2 linked regions of the Rhinolophus ferrumequinum genome follow. The protein of the gene in region 1 purifies or fractionates together with the protein of each later gene. This does not show direct contact. Links are inferred from orthologs where the notes say so. Each region holds a gene or a part of one and is shown in the gene's direction. Other genes may lie near its edges.

Region 1 (7,617 bases):
AATTTTTAAAAAATTATCTAGAGACATCCCTCCTGTATCCTTCCATCTTCCTACTCTCCTCTGGCGTGGCTGCTTTCTAGGTACGCCCCACAGCTGTTTACCTTGAACTGTCTTTCATTATCAGCTGGAGAATTCCCTTCACCTCTCTTTTATGTTCATCCCGTTCTCTGGGTCTCATGTCTTCGTGTTTCTTGGTTTACTCTCTCATATGATGGAATGCATATTCCAGTGGCTTCCTAAGAAAGGAGGTTGACATTTTATATCATTTACTACTCCTCAACATGGACCCATTGCTCCCGTAGGCAGGTCCACTTACCATCTATTGGAACATTTTCACCTCCATATCTTTGCCATTTCTCTTGGTTAGAACACTCTCCAACTTCCTGTCTGCATGTCCAAATGCTATTTGTATTTTCAAACTAATTTTTATTTTTATGAAAATAATACATGTACATACTTGAAAAGTCAGTTATAAGACTTATTGAGAGAAAAGATAGAAGACCCTTATCCCATTCTTTCTCATTCTCAATTTATGCTCCTAGAAGTCTTTTTCATTATTTAAAAATGTTGTTTCTTCTGGTATTTACTTCTTTATTGCTAAGTAATATAACTATACTGGTATCTTTTAACTTAATGACTTCTTATTATGGAAGATAAAGATTTAGTCTTCTTATGCCATAACCTCTCTAACCTCGTCTCTATCCTCCCAATATAGTTTGGGAGGATGTAGAATTCTGAATTAGAAATCATTTTCTAGGGGGAGGGGGATGGGAGATGAGGGTAAGGGGGATCAAATATATGGTGATGGAAGGAGAACTGACTCTGGGTGGTGAACACACAATGGGATTTATAGATGATGTAATACAGAATTGTACACCTGAAATCTATGTAATTTTACTAACAATTGTCACCCCAATAAACTTTAATTTAAAAAAAAGAAAAAAGAAATCATTTTCTCAGAATCTTGAATTCCAAACTATACCTTAATGAATTCACTATGGTTCCTAGTGATTGCCTCTTCTCTTCCACTGTAATGAAATATCCCATCCTTTTTATCATCGGTTCTAGAATCTCGTCTGCCTTTGATATCATGATTACTAGACTATACCAACTTCCTCTTTTTGAAAAGTAAAACAATATTAGATCATCCATAATCCCCTTGGACTTCTGCTGTCCTCCATGATTACTAATCTCACCTGTCAGTATCCTCAATGTAATTAATACAGCTATGTGGAGCACTATGAGAGAGAGCCCTGATCTCACCTGACAAAGTGACATTTAAGCTAGATCTGAAAGATAAATAGCAAAGACCTTGTGCAAGCATTCCAACAGACATGGTTGCAAGTGCAAAAACTGTCAGGGGAGAAGGAGTTTTGGGAACTCAAGGGATGAAAGGTGTTCAGTGGGGTGGAGTTTGGTGAGTGAGGGGGAGAGTAGGCCCACCCGAGGCTAGAGAGGAAGGCAGGGGTCAGAGAATTCAGGGCCTTGCAGATGATAGTAAAGCAAGATTTGGGACTTATCCTAACAGCAATGAGAAGCTACTGAAAAGTCATAAGCAGAGGAGTGACTGGATCTGATTCATCTTCCAAAGACTTCTGTGGTTGCATTGTAAAGAATGAATTGGAGAGGGCCAATAATTAGGAAGATGTGGGTAAAACTGGTCTTGAATAAACATTAAGGCCAGCCTTGGAAGGGAGAAAGAAATTTCAAGTGGGCAAAGGGTAGTCTCCTAAGGTATATTTGAAAGCTCTGCAGAGACAGTTGAATTTCTCCAACTTGCTGATGGCAGTGATTTAGATGCTGATATAACAGGTTCAATTTTTTTCCTTCCTTTTTTAGTATTAGGTGGAGGAGGTGCCTCCTTTTCATCATTCCTTTCCGCTGGATCCCGAAATTGCTGATCAACTGACTGACTCCAGAAGCAGTTTGCTCCCTTCCTTCTCAACTGTGGACTACATCCAGTATCCTAGAGGTTGTTCTGCCCATTTGCCATGGTGAGATTTCTGAGGGGTTGAGGTAGAAGGTGGGAAAGAACAAGGGGGTCAAAAGAGGGGCTTGCACAGAAATGGGGCCGCACGCTTAAAAAAATCAAGGAGGAACACTCCCTTCCCTTTATCCCACAGTAAGCATTCTATCTACTCAAGATATAATAAGAACAGAAGACTGCTTCCTCACAATTCCTGCCTGCAGGAGACTGGGGCTTCTGCTGCAGTCAGCTGATACACCACAGGAGTTTGTGTTATATACCGCAGCTTCTGACAGTTTAGGCTGGAGGAAGTTAGTTTTTGAAGTTCTGTTTATGGAGTTGGCCAAAAGAAAATGCAGGCTGATGGTCTGCTTTTCATAGTCACTGACAACGGCTTTCTACTACACCTGGGTTTTCTTTAGAAACTGTGAAGAAGCACTGAAAAGAACAAAAATAATTTCTTCTTGTCTTAAAAAAACCAAAAAACAAAGGAAAGTAACTCTAAAGGATGTGAAAGTAACTCTAATTTCAGGTTGAGTTTGGATATGGAAAAAAATTCCCTTGCAAGAAATTTTATGTTTTGCTGAGCATATTTTAATTTATGTGGAATTGCATTTTTATAGTCAAGCAAATTAGTATGGACCCATGCGTATAGGTGTTGTGATGAAACAAATTAAGAGGACCTAGAGATAGTGGAATTACAATAACAAATGAAAATATGACAATACTGCTATTATCTTGGAGGATGCTAAATGCTTTGATTTTAGCTGGGCAACATGGCAATGGCATGTGAGATAATACTCACACAGTGGTGTGTGAGAGAATAGTGCAAAACAATTTCCAGTTCTTTGATTTTTTTAAGTTGACCTGTTTGAATTCATAAGCAAAACACATTTTTCCATCTGTTTAACAAAATTGTGTATGAAAAGATATTACTTATTATTTACTAGTAAGCACTTGCATCACCAAATGTCTAAATTCATTTTCTAGTAACTGTTTTATTGATAAGCATGCATTTATTGATAAGGATTGTAGAATTATGCCTAGAACGAATGAGACCCCAAAATTCCAGTACCTAGAATTGGGCCTGCTACACAGTAGCTGTTCAACAAATCATTAGTGAGTTAATATTATATTAGTTAATATTATATTAATTAATATTAGTTAATATTATATTAGTTGCTGTGTTCAATAAAAGTAAAGCCAGAAAATAAACTCTATTTGAAAATAAATCTTTAAAACAGTAGATGGCAAAAGCTTAGATCCATTTTGCAGTAAAACAAAATATCCTACTATCTGATTAATATGTATATGTATAAATATATATATTTAACATAAATCTCAAAAAATCATTAGATACAGCCTCAAGTGTGAGCAAAGTGAAAGAACCACAATTAGGGAAAGAACTGGGAACGTATGGTTTTACTTCTCGGCGATTAGGACAGTTTGGGAACATACCTTAAGTCTCCTGCATTTGCACGTCATTAGGGATGGGTTACTCGCTCACAGAATCAAGTTCAAACTTCATAGGGTGTTTCTGAAGATCCTTTCGGGGTTTAGTTCCTTCCTGCCGCCCCGGCCCACGCCGCCTACACGTCGGCGGTGTGCCCGTTTTCTTAACTTGCCCTGCACTTTCTCACCCACCTCTTCCTCCACTTTGGACTTTGTAATGCCTCCTTTTGTCAGCTCTTGTAAAGCCTTCCCACTTGTAAAGGTCCAGTTTAGTCTTCAGCGCATTCAGGAAAGCTTAACAACCCCCTTTTCAGATGCACTATCCCTCTGCCGTATTTTCCGAACCTCTACTCCAGCAGCTATCACTTTCTAACGCGCTGTTCTCGCACGTGGGTATCCCTTAACTAGCCTGCGGCCATCTTATTGGGGAGGTCTTTCAAGAATTCGCCATGTCCCGCCCCTAGCACAGGGCCTGGTACAAAGAAAATGTCCAGTAAAGGTTTGTTGAAGTGAACCTGAACCCGAGACGAAAAGGAGAAGAGCCTATGGGCAGCAGTAAAGGCCCTTCACGACTTGAGGGGATGAGGCCCGTGATGTAGCGACTCGAAACTGGCAGGAGAACATGGCCGAGCACAAGGCTCGGGTAGTTTCTGAACTCCCATTACTTGGCTCTTTACGTTTTATAGAGGAATCTGAAAAGTTCAACAGCTTTGGGGCAAGCCATAAAGGGCGGTGCAAACTGAGTGAGGTGGGGTTGGGATGCCCAGTCTCGTGGCAATTCTAGACTCAGCTTTCGTGTTTCGCTTTTAAAGATTCGTGAATTCCAGTTATAAACTAAGAGCCCAAACATGTAGAGGGTTTCACAGTTTTCGCGCCCTTGGGAAGGCTCCCAGCATTCTGGGCTTTGCCTCATTCATCCCTATGACATTTCCCACCGCGGGGAATCTACAGAGTGCTCCCGGCTTCCACATCCAGCCGGTTCTGAGAACTACGGCTCGGCCCTGCGGGCTCAGCCGCTTCCTCCTTCAACCAAACCCAGTACGAGCGAATGGGGGAGCTCCCGGCCCGCGGTACGGGGCGGAATAGGGGCACGACTACAACTCCCAGGATGCCCTGGGCGAAGTGCGGGGGAGGGGCGAGGGGCGGGGGTTGAGGCGGGGGGTGGCAGGGAAATACCGCCCCGCTGCGCAGCAGCAACAACACAAAGCCTGACTTTACAACCTCAGAGAGAAAGTGGAAGTAAGGCGGCTTAGGTGAGAGGCAGGACGAGAAAAAGAACCAGAGGAGGGACAGACGCGTAGGTGGGAAAGGAGCGAGGCGAGGGCAGTCGGGAGACCCCCGCCTTTCCAGATGAGGAGGGGGCGGCTTTCATAACTAGTTCCCTTGCCCCGCCCGCGCTGGTGTCTCCACCGTGTCCTGCCGTTCTCACTCTTCGCCCACAGCCTGGCTGCCTCGTGGGCTTGGGGCTGGCCGGTGGGCGGCACCGTGGCTCCCCAGCCCGGGTGCGGGACGAAAGCGCGGGGCGGCACGGCCGCGGCGGACTGAGGAGGGATTGTGACCGAAGCGGCGCCGCAGAGGAGTTAGGGCCGGGGCAGGGGAGGCTGGGACTCCCGACCGAGCCGGGGAGGTAGTCCCCGGCTGAGGCGAGGTGAGGCGCGGGGTGCCTGCGAGAGTCCTCCCGTGCCCGGAGTGGGGCGGAAGCACGCGGGCTGCCTGGGGGAGAGGGCGGGCGGTGGCACAGCCAGGGGGCAGAGTGGAGACCGCGGGGGCCGAGCCCGGCGCCGGGGGCGAGATAGGACCGTCTCCTCCCCTCCGGAGAAGCCTAACGCTCCTCCGCCTTCCCTCCCCTGCGCGCCGGGCTCGCCTTTTCCGCGGGCTGCTGTGGGATCAGCGGGGCGGCGGGTGTGGCGCCAGATTAGGGGGAGCCACAAGGTTGATGCCCCCGGGGCGGGGGTGGGCGGTGAGTGAGGCGGCGGGGGGTGGGGGCGGCGAGGGCGCGCGCAGCGGGGGGGCGGGGGGACGTGCAGAGCCGAGGAGGGCGGCGGCGGCGGCCGGCGGGTGGCCGGGGAGCACGCCGCAGTGTGTTGTGTGGACGGCACCTTCTCAGACAGACCGCCAGATCCCAGCTTGGCGCCCCCAGCCTTGGACGTGATGTTCCGCCGGAGCTTTCATCGCTTTGTAAGTACACTCCCTGCGGCCCCACGCGGGCCGGTTCTCCGGCTCTTCAGCCCCTCCGCCGGGTCCCTCAGAAACGTTTCCTGAGCAGATAAGTGCATCTGTGGGAGACACCACCACTGTACCCCCTTTGAATTCTCCCGGAAACGCCGCTGTCCCGGCGGCCAGGGTAGGGAGGCAGGTAGGGCTCTCGAGAGTCCTCCCCCCCCCCCCACAGCCAGACGCACACACTCCTGACAATGTAAGCGGAGCTTTCCGGGGCCATTCCCAACTCCGCTTGAGACGGGGAGCCGTCTCAGGCTGGATGGTGGGAGACCGACCTAGGGGCCCCTCGGTTTGTCAATTAGTCGAAGATGGCGTTTTATTATCAGGAAGGTGGCTTTCTTTTGTCTCCTCTGCTGCGAGCACAGGGAGGTAAACGTAGACCCGTATCCGTGGCCCAAAAAAAGACCTGGGGGCTGAGGGGGCCGGAGGCGAGGGCAGGACTCAGCTTTGCCCGGGACTCGGCCGGGCGGCTGCTGTTCGGACACTGGGCAAACTTTGGAGACCCCAGCCTGTGCTCACCTTTAGGGGCTGAGACATAAAAGCGAGGGCGATTGTCGGTGGGTTGCATGGACGTGGAGACGCCTGCAGGCGGCACAGCCGCTGCCAAGAGCCGCGTCTGGAGCCTCGCCGCGCCCTGAATGCCCCAGACATTGAACCCCTGGGGGAAGGCAGGCTGCGGCTGGACTCCTCCGTCCACGTTTCCCCCCTCCCAAGTCCCCAGAACACGGAATGTCTTTTCCGTGCGAGTTGAGCGTAGGGAAAAGCGATTGCTGCATACTGACTTTTTTGAGTAACCTGTTTTACTCGTAAGAGGGTACGTTAATAATAGAGCAAAACAGGGACCATGACTTCTACGCTGCTATTTGTCGTAACTTCCTTAATTGCAAGATGAGGTGGCGGGAATAGGATTTTATTGCTTCCAGTGATGTGAAAGAAAGGGTTCATCTGTAAGTTTAGATTTTTCTGTCGTTAGGGAAAATGGTTGAGTGCTGTGCGCTCCCCCAACCCTTCACAATATGGGTTGGAGAACTTGTCGATTTGGGTCTTTTCATCCGATTATTCCTTATCAAAGCATTGCTGACGTTTTGCATGCGTTGGATGGTTTTGCTCTCGTTTTTTCTGCATTGGAAACTTTCACAAATGTACCCTGGCTAAAAGAAAGAATTGTACATCCCTCTTTAGGATATTATCACAAGAGTGCTGCGTTAATGTTTTTCTAAACGTTCACCTCACCCAGAAACATGTCTTATGAAATTGGAGCAGGTTACCTGTGGCACAGAGCACTAGATCATACATGTCAAGGGTCTTGAAATCTGTAGGAACTGGATGCTTTGCTAAAGCAAGTGACTAAAATTGGTTTCTCACATTTAACCAGAGAAGGTAAAAGAGCATTGTACTTCGTAGTTCTGTTTCACATAGATTCTTGTGATCTTGGAGTGTTGTTTGGGGGTGACAAAAAGGGAAAGGTGACAAAGAGATCTTATTGTAATATTTGGGGAAATGGTAGGCTTTTCACATGGCTTTCTTATAGTGGAAAACAACTGGACTCTGGTTCATAATAAATTCATTAGCTTAAAATTAAGATGTTGACATCGTCGGGTTTTTTTTTTTTTCCCAAGGATTTGAAACCGAACAATCCAAGTATTGGCCTAAGAGCCTCCTTTGCTTTTCTTTTGCTAAGAGTGATCTGCATTGTATCAGAGTCTAGTAATTAAGTACTGCTGGCCCAGGACGCCAGGGCATGCAGTAGAATTTGCAGCAGTTCTTGAGGTGCCAGCCTGCAGGTTTGAGGCCAGTTCTTTGCATCCTGACCAAGATCTCTGCAGAGAATCCCTTAAGCTCACGCTGAAATGAGCTTTGACCTCATTGTTTCAGCTGGAACACCCGACTGCTCACATATTCCCGCACAACCATGACTATGGTAAGTCTCGAGAATTTGTACCAGTGCAGTAAACCGGAGGGTTCTCAGGAGTTGTATC
Region 2 (7,071 bases), on another chromosome or scaffold:
ATGAGAATAATCATTTAAATATCATGTTTGACTTGCATTTCTGATTACTGACTGTGGTCATTCATAAAGTTGCAAAATATTTCATCACAACACCAATGATCTCAGGCTTATCACTCTCTCAATGTCAGAACAAAAGGATTTTCTTAAGTGCCTAAGTAAAAGTTTAATAAATACGTATACATGAAAATCAGGAAAAGGTCAACTTTAAAAGAATTTTTCAAAATCAGTTTGAATTAATCTCTGATGTAATAAGTACAAGAAAATAAATTTATTATACAAATTCTATGTCACTCTTTTCTTAAATATCGCCTCAATTAAAAATGAATATTATTTAATCCCCTCAAACTTCTCTAAGTAAGCTGCCACGATCAACTAAATAGAATTTTTTTTTTCCCGTCTAGAAAGAAACAAGCAAAATATTACCCAGTCACTGAAAACAATTCAAACCATTTCCAGTCCCTAAGAATTTTCTCTGAAATTCATGCTGGTAAAAACTATGGCACATTTCTCAGCTCTCTTCAATTTTCTAAACATTATTAAACTACACATATAAATGAAATGGTTTGAATATGGTTAGAAGCTAGAGAGCTAAAGCAGCACCAAATACTCAAAGGAGTCTAATAAGCAAATCTATGTGCCATGTTGGCCAAACAGTAAAAAGAGCAGTTTCAGTTTCCTCTTCTTAATTCCTTAAGTTACTCAGTTATTCATTTTTCCCCCCAATGTTTCTGGTTACCTCGTTCAATAGCTTGAAAACAGCAACTGAACTAAAAAAATTAAAATTTGTTATGAAACTTCTCCTCTAAAGTTATTTATCTACATCTTTTCAGATTGTTGGGTTTGTATCTGCCTATTATTTTGGATTTACTTTCATATTTAGTAGGGTTTCCAGGTGGGAATTCCCGCCTGTTCTCAGGATTTTTTTTTTTGCTTTCCCATTCCAGAATCCCGAGATATAAACTGTTTTCTGTTCTCCACGATGAATCATTTCCAGAAAGTGACGGCTGATATTACCAACCACCTGGGTTCAAGGAGCCGATTTTCCCAATTTCCCAACCAACTTTTCTCGGGATTCGCGAACAGGAAAGTGAAAAAAATTCCTGAGAACGGGTGAGAATTCCCGCTTGGAAACCCTATTAGGCTCAGGCATTCATTGCACACTTACTATATTGACCTGGTAGTCAGCATTAATCAATGTAATTAAGCACATTTTTTTAAAAACAGGAATCAGTGAATGAAGAATCATTTAAACAATACAAATGTTATCTAAATGTGTCATCAGCACACGCGTGAGCACATGTCACTCCTAGCAACCACAGTTTAAAAATGCATATGGTGGAAATCCATTGTGAGAACAACCACTCTCTTTTGTTGCCCCAGAAATACTGAACATTTCCCTTTTAAAATTCCTACTTCATAAGATTAAATGAAAAAATACCTAAGAACTATCATAAAACAATGTATGACCAATGAAATCATAAAATTCTGAGTCCTCAAGCTAATGATGTGGATGTGAAAAAAATGTTACTGGGTAAAGCAGCATGTTGTGATGGCAGAGTACAGTAGAGGGAAAGGAATTGGAAGGACATCAAGAGATTTTGAAACGTCATTTCATCCATTTGGCTCTCATCTGAAAATTAAGTTTTAGATAAGAATCTAAGAAAGCTTTAGATTCAAGCTTGTTCGGAAAGTCTATGTTTCAGTCAAAATGGAATTCCTACTAAGAAAAAAGAAACAAGAAGTTAATCTTTCCTATGAACAAAAAGAAAAAGAAAGCAGATAAATATATCACAATCACTTAGATCAGTTAAAAAAAAAAAAAAACAACTGGAAGGCAAAATAACTCCATACTTACATAGAATGTTGGAATAGCAAATCACTTAAGGAACTATCACATTTAGTGGGTTTGATGATACAGGCAGAAATGGGGAGATAAAACTTGCCTCAATCTTTATACTTTTGCATTATGCCCAATACTGTTATATACATTTTTACTAACCAATAGAATTTAGCAAAATAAAAGAAGCCCATACCTTCTCCATTAACTGTGATAGATGAATATTTTCCATTTGAAAATATTCTTACATAGATATAACTTTCCATTTGAAATATAATTCCTAACATAGAATATTTTCCATTTAAAAATAAACTTACATGGCTCAAAACAAAATATAGACCTACTTATATTACCAGTACTAAGAATTTGAGAGATAAGGATGTCATGTAAGAACAAAACCAAGCAAGTTAGTTATCTACCAGATTAATATTCGATTGGCTCACATCTTGAGACTTGTAGTCATTTTGAAAATACATTTAATTGTAAATTACAAGGCCCAAGCACTCTTTTCGTTTCCCTTTTCTTGGATTACTTCCAAAAGGTATGACTTCCGACAAAGCCTAAAAGAAAATAAACTCGGGGCCAGCCCGGTGGCTCAGGCGGTTAGAGCTTCATGCTCCTAACTCTGAAGGCTGCCGGTTCAATTCCCACATGGGCCAGCGGGCTCTCAACCACAAGGTTGCCAGTTCAATTCCTTGAGTCCCGCAAGGGATCTTGGGCTCTGCCCTCTGCAACTAAGATTGAACACCGCACTTTGAGGTGAGCTCCCCTGAGCTCCCCGGTGGCTCAGTTGGTTGGAGCGCATCCTCTCAACCATAAGGTTGCCAGTTCGACTCCGGCAAGGGATGGTGGGTTGTGCCCCCTGCAACTAGTAAGGGCAACTGGAGCTGAGCTGTGCCCTCCACAACTAAGACTGAAAGGACAACAACTTGAAGCTGAATGACACCCTCCACAACTAAGATTGAAAGGACAACAACTTGACTTGGAAAAAAGTCCTGGAAGTACACACTGTTCCCCAATAAAGTCCTGTTCCCCTTCCCCAATAAAATCTTATGAAAAAGAAAATAAACTTTGGGTATTTGTTTTCAGATGATGTGACTTACTCTCTGGTCTGGATTTCAAAGATGCCAATATAATGTGGATTGTACATAATCAAAACAATTTTTTTTACAAATATATGCTTATTGTAGAAACTTTGGAAAATGCAGAAAAAGTGCAAAGAAGTAGAGAAAAAACATTCTCCATCTGGTCAATGGAGATTACCACTATTTACTTCTTAGGTAGGCTTGATACTATATACCAATACTACCTTGGTATCAAGATTTACTTACTTTTTATATCATGAATATTTCCTTCGGTCATTAAATACTTGGCAGTTTTAAAGTGTCTGCATAGTATCTCATTTTATAGTAATGCCATAATGTGAAGCTTTTTTCTTGTAATCTGTAAAATAAAGAGCTACAGCTAATTACAAGACTTCTTATATCTGCACAAAAAAGAAACGACACAGAAAAGAAGGTAAAATGTAACATGAAGACCATTAATGGAACATAGACAAGTGATAATAGCTCAAGTAGCGTCAAAATAATAGGGTTAACCAAGTCACGTATTTATGTTTACTTTGGGCAAGTCACGTATTTATTTTTACTTTGGGACCAAAGGGTCACCCATCACGCATCTCACTTAATGTTTGTATTTGTACCTTGAATGACGATTTACTTTAATTAGAGAAACTCGCGGTTTTATAACCCAAGGAAATACTACAATCATACCAGGTTCAAGCAACTTTGGTGTGGTCTTTTAAATACTACGATTCCCTTCAGAGAGGGCTACGCGGTAAAACAAAAACCTGTCTGGCGCCGAAGCCACTAGAAAGACATCTTTGTCAGCAGCTCCAGGGCTAACTAGGGTAGTCCGGGCCGGGCGGATCAGACCTGAGCCTCAGATCGGCCGTCACCAGGATAACCGGAGCCGCAGACAGGTGTGAGCTAACAGAACTTTAGGCAAGTGGAGCGCAGACGCGCCTGCCGCGCAGGCGCCCCGCCCTTTTCGCCCTCAAAGCCTGCGCATGCGCTGTCGTAGCTTCACGCTCCGGGGTTTGACCCTTTGTCGTCACAGGGCAGATGACCCTCGTGCGTCCGCCTTTTCCCTCCCTCTTATGTCCCTCCCCGTGTCCCTCAGTTTCCTCCCTCCTCCCCCTCCCTGGGGCGTCCCCAGCCGACTCCAACTTCCGGTCAGCGCCCGTCTGCGGAAGGGTGTCCCGCCTCTTCCGCCTTTACTTTAGAGGTGGCGGCGGCAGCGACGCCTGCGCGTCTTCTTTCAGGGTCAGCAGACGGGTCCCCTGGGCGGTCCACTTGCGCGCGTCGCGGAGCCGCGCCCGGGGGGCAATGGCGATGAACTATAACGCGAAGGATGAAGTAGATGGTGGGCCCGCGTGTGCTCCTGGGGGCACCGCTAAGAACCGGAGGCCGGATAATACGGCCTTCAAACAGCAAAGGTTGCCGGCTTGGCAGCCCATCCTGACGGCTGGCACGGTGCTACCTACCTTCTTCATCATCGGCCTCATATTCATCCCCATTGGCATTGGCATCTTCGTCACCTCAAACAACATCCGCGAGATCGAGGTGAGGGGAGGGAGCGGCGGTGGCAATTGGCGCCGCTTGGGCGCTGGGTCCTGGCCTGCCCACTTCTTCCTCAGCTCTCTGGAGGTTGACCTCCGGGCTTCACCTCCCTCACGCTTTCTCTCTTCCTCAGTGTCTTCTTTCTGCGGGCTTTCTGAATTTGCAGTTTTGTCCGAGCTTCCTCTCGCGATTTACATGGTTAGAGACGAAATGAATGTTTAATACAGAGGGTGGGTCAGATAAAGAACGCCCCTTAATAGGCGGTTTGTGTGGCTCTGGAGATTTTTACCTCCAACGGAGGTTAAGAGAGAGAGAGAAGAGAGAAAAGGAGGTGGAAAAAAAAGAAGTTATATCTAGATATTACTGCGGGAGAAGGGACGTGGTCAGTGTCATTATCTGTGTTGGGACTTCCTAGAACGCAGATTAACACCTTGGCCATTGTTGGGGAAAGGACCGAGAGTCGTAGAAGTATTGGTGATTTTTATCTAAAGAAGTTGTCGTATCTTACCAGGTCACATGTTAGGACAAATGACCGAAGTTTGCACAGTTACCTTTTATTTTGAGTTAATTGATGTTTTTAGTTGTAGGGTATGATATAGGTAAAAAGGTAACTTGAATCTTCTATTCCGGTTTTGCTTTTAGGCTGTGTTTATTAATAACCATGCCCTGCATTCACCCTCGATTTCTTTTTCCCCCTAGATTTTAAACTTTTTTTAAAAAAAGTCAGTGACCACACGGAGAGAATAAGTTGTACATTGTTTACAGAACAGTTTACTGATAGAAGACACGATAAAGATCTGCTCTTTTTCTGAATATCTGAGGGTATTTTTATCTGTTTGAAAGGGCAGTAACTGGTACCAAGGTCTCTTGATTTCTTCTGTTTTCTCAGAGTACATCATTTTTCCCTCTAGTCCTATTAAGTCCTTTTAAGCGTCTGCATGTGATTTAATGGGGCTTTCAGAGTAAGTTTATTTTGACTACAGGTATAGGTGTAAAGATACCTGTTTCCAGTTTAACTTACAGTGTTACTTTTCAAAGTAAAATATATATTTTTTAATTTTTTACAGTGCTCACTTCTGTGTTAATAACACTAATATCATTGCTTTTAAATCTTTTACTAAAAATTAGTTTTCAGTGTAATAACTAGAGAAAGTGTCACAGTATGTTTTTTCAGCATGTATTTTTATTTGCTTTATCTTTTGTGTCTCCCTAATAGTTCTTCAAATGTAGTACTTGTTCTCCCAGCCACACTAGGATCTCACATATGAGTAAAGTGATGTATTGCAAGTACCGTGGGCTCTAGGTTGGGGTCACGCAGAGCTAGGTTTAAATTCCAGCTTTGCCACTAACTAGCTCAGTTTCTTGGAAAACTTAATCTCTCTGAGCCTCAGTTTTCTTACCTGTAAAATACGTAAATAATGCCTATCTTTTATTTTTTTTTTAAGATTTTTTTTTTTTTTTTTAATTGGGGAAGGGGAACAGGACTTTATTGGGGAACAGTGTGTACTTCCAGGACTTTTTTCCAAGTCAAGGTTGTTGTCCTTTCAATCTTAGTTGTGGAGGGTGCCGGTCAGCTTTTCTTTCAGTCTCAGTTGTGGAGGGCGCAGCTCAGCTCCAGGTCCAGTTGCCGTTGCTAGTTGCAGGGGGCACAGCCCACCATCCCTTGCGGGAGTCGAACCAGCAACCTTGTGGTTGAGAGGACACGCTCCAACCAACTGAGCCATTAGGGAGCTCAGCGGCAGCTCAGCTCAAGGTGCCATGTTCAATCTTAGTTGCAGGGGGCAGAGCCCACCATCCCTTGTGGGACTCGAGGAATTGAACCGGCAACCTTGTGGTTGAGAGCCTACTGGCCTGTGTGGGAATCGAACCGGCAGCCTTCGGAGTTAGGAGCACGGAGCTCTAACCAGCTCCGCCTGAGCCACTGGCCGGCCCATGCCTATCTTTTAAAATGTGAGAATTAGAAACAATATAGCTAAGATTCCTGGTATTAAGTTTGTACGATAAATAGGTATGATGATTCCTAATCAGGAGATGAGAAATGGCGCCAGAGAGATTGATACTTACTAGTAAGCTAGAAGAATATTGTAAAATTGAGGCAGAAACCCAAACCAGATGTCTTTATTCTCAACCTTAAGCTTTCACACTACATTAGATTCTTACTGCAGTGTTAGTAGTTAAGTAGAAGAAAATAATTTAACATCAAAAATTTGATCATCTTATTTCAACTTCTCAAGATACTGAGGTGAAAGTAGCAATAATTTGGAATTTTATATGATGGGTAGTATCAAAACTCACCTGTTAATATTTACTATACTATGAAAATAAATATTTACTTTCTTTAAAACTTTTGGGTTTTGAAATAAAATAATGTTCTTCACACTAAGAAGTTGGTAAAGTGGAAATTTCTTTAGTTCTCATGTATATGCTTCTGATTTCAAGTGGCCTAAAGAGCCTGCTGCAGCTTGTTCTGGTTAAAAGGACACTGAAGTTAAAAGTCAAGGCATTAGAGTAGAAGTCCCACCTCTGTTGTGATCTTAGGCATATTTTTGAATGCTTTTTTTTTTTACTAGAAGAACCAAAAGGTCATCTGTAGATGATCTCTAAGATGCTGTC

Evidence for each region. Proteins that work in one complex are often made in the same cells at the same time.
Region 2: the proteins of ATP11C (region 1) and TMEM30A purify together in Homo sapiens (co-immunoprecipitation; 4 studies listed by BioGRID and IntAct, with this or other methods). This does not show direct contact. The link is inferred for Rhinolophus ferrumequinum from reciprocal best matches to the Homo sapiens genes ATP11C and TMEM30A.

The regions. Positions count from the first base shown.
Region 1 is NC_046284.1:16,423,469-16,431,085, forward strand, and holds the start of ATP11C (phospholipid-transporting ATPase IG), read left to right. Parts: upstream 1-4,616; 5' UTR 4,617-4,671; intron 4,672-4,927; exon of another isoform or gene 4,928-5,066; intron 5,067-5,422; exon of another isoform or gene 5,423-5,525; 5' UTR 5,526-5,569; coding exon 5,570-5,596; intron 5,597-7,617. UniProt on the Homo sapiens protein: Catalytic component of a P4-ATPase flippase complex which catalyzes the hydrolysis of ATP coupled to the transport of aminophospholipids, phosphatidylserines (PS) and phosphatidylethanolamines (PE), from the outer to the inner leaflet of the plasma membrane.
Region 2 is NC_046286.1:36,111,444-36,118,514, reverse strand, and holds the start of TMEM30A (cell cycle control protein 50A), read left to right. Parts: upstream 1-4,062; 5' UTR 4,063-4,224; coding exon 4,225-4,461; intron 4,462-7,071. UniProt on the Homo sapiens protein: Accessory component of a P4-ATPase flippase complex which catalyzes the hydrolysis of ATP coupled to the transport of aminophospholipids from the outer to the inner leaflet of various membranes and ensures the maintenance of asymmetric distribution of phospholipids.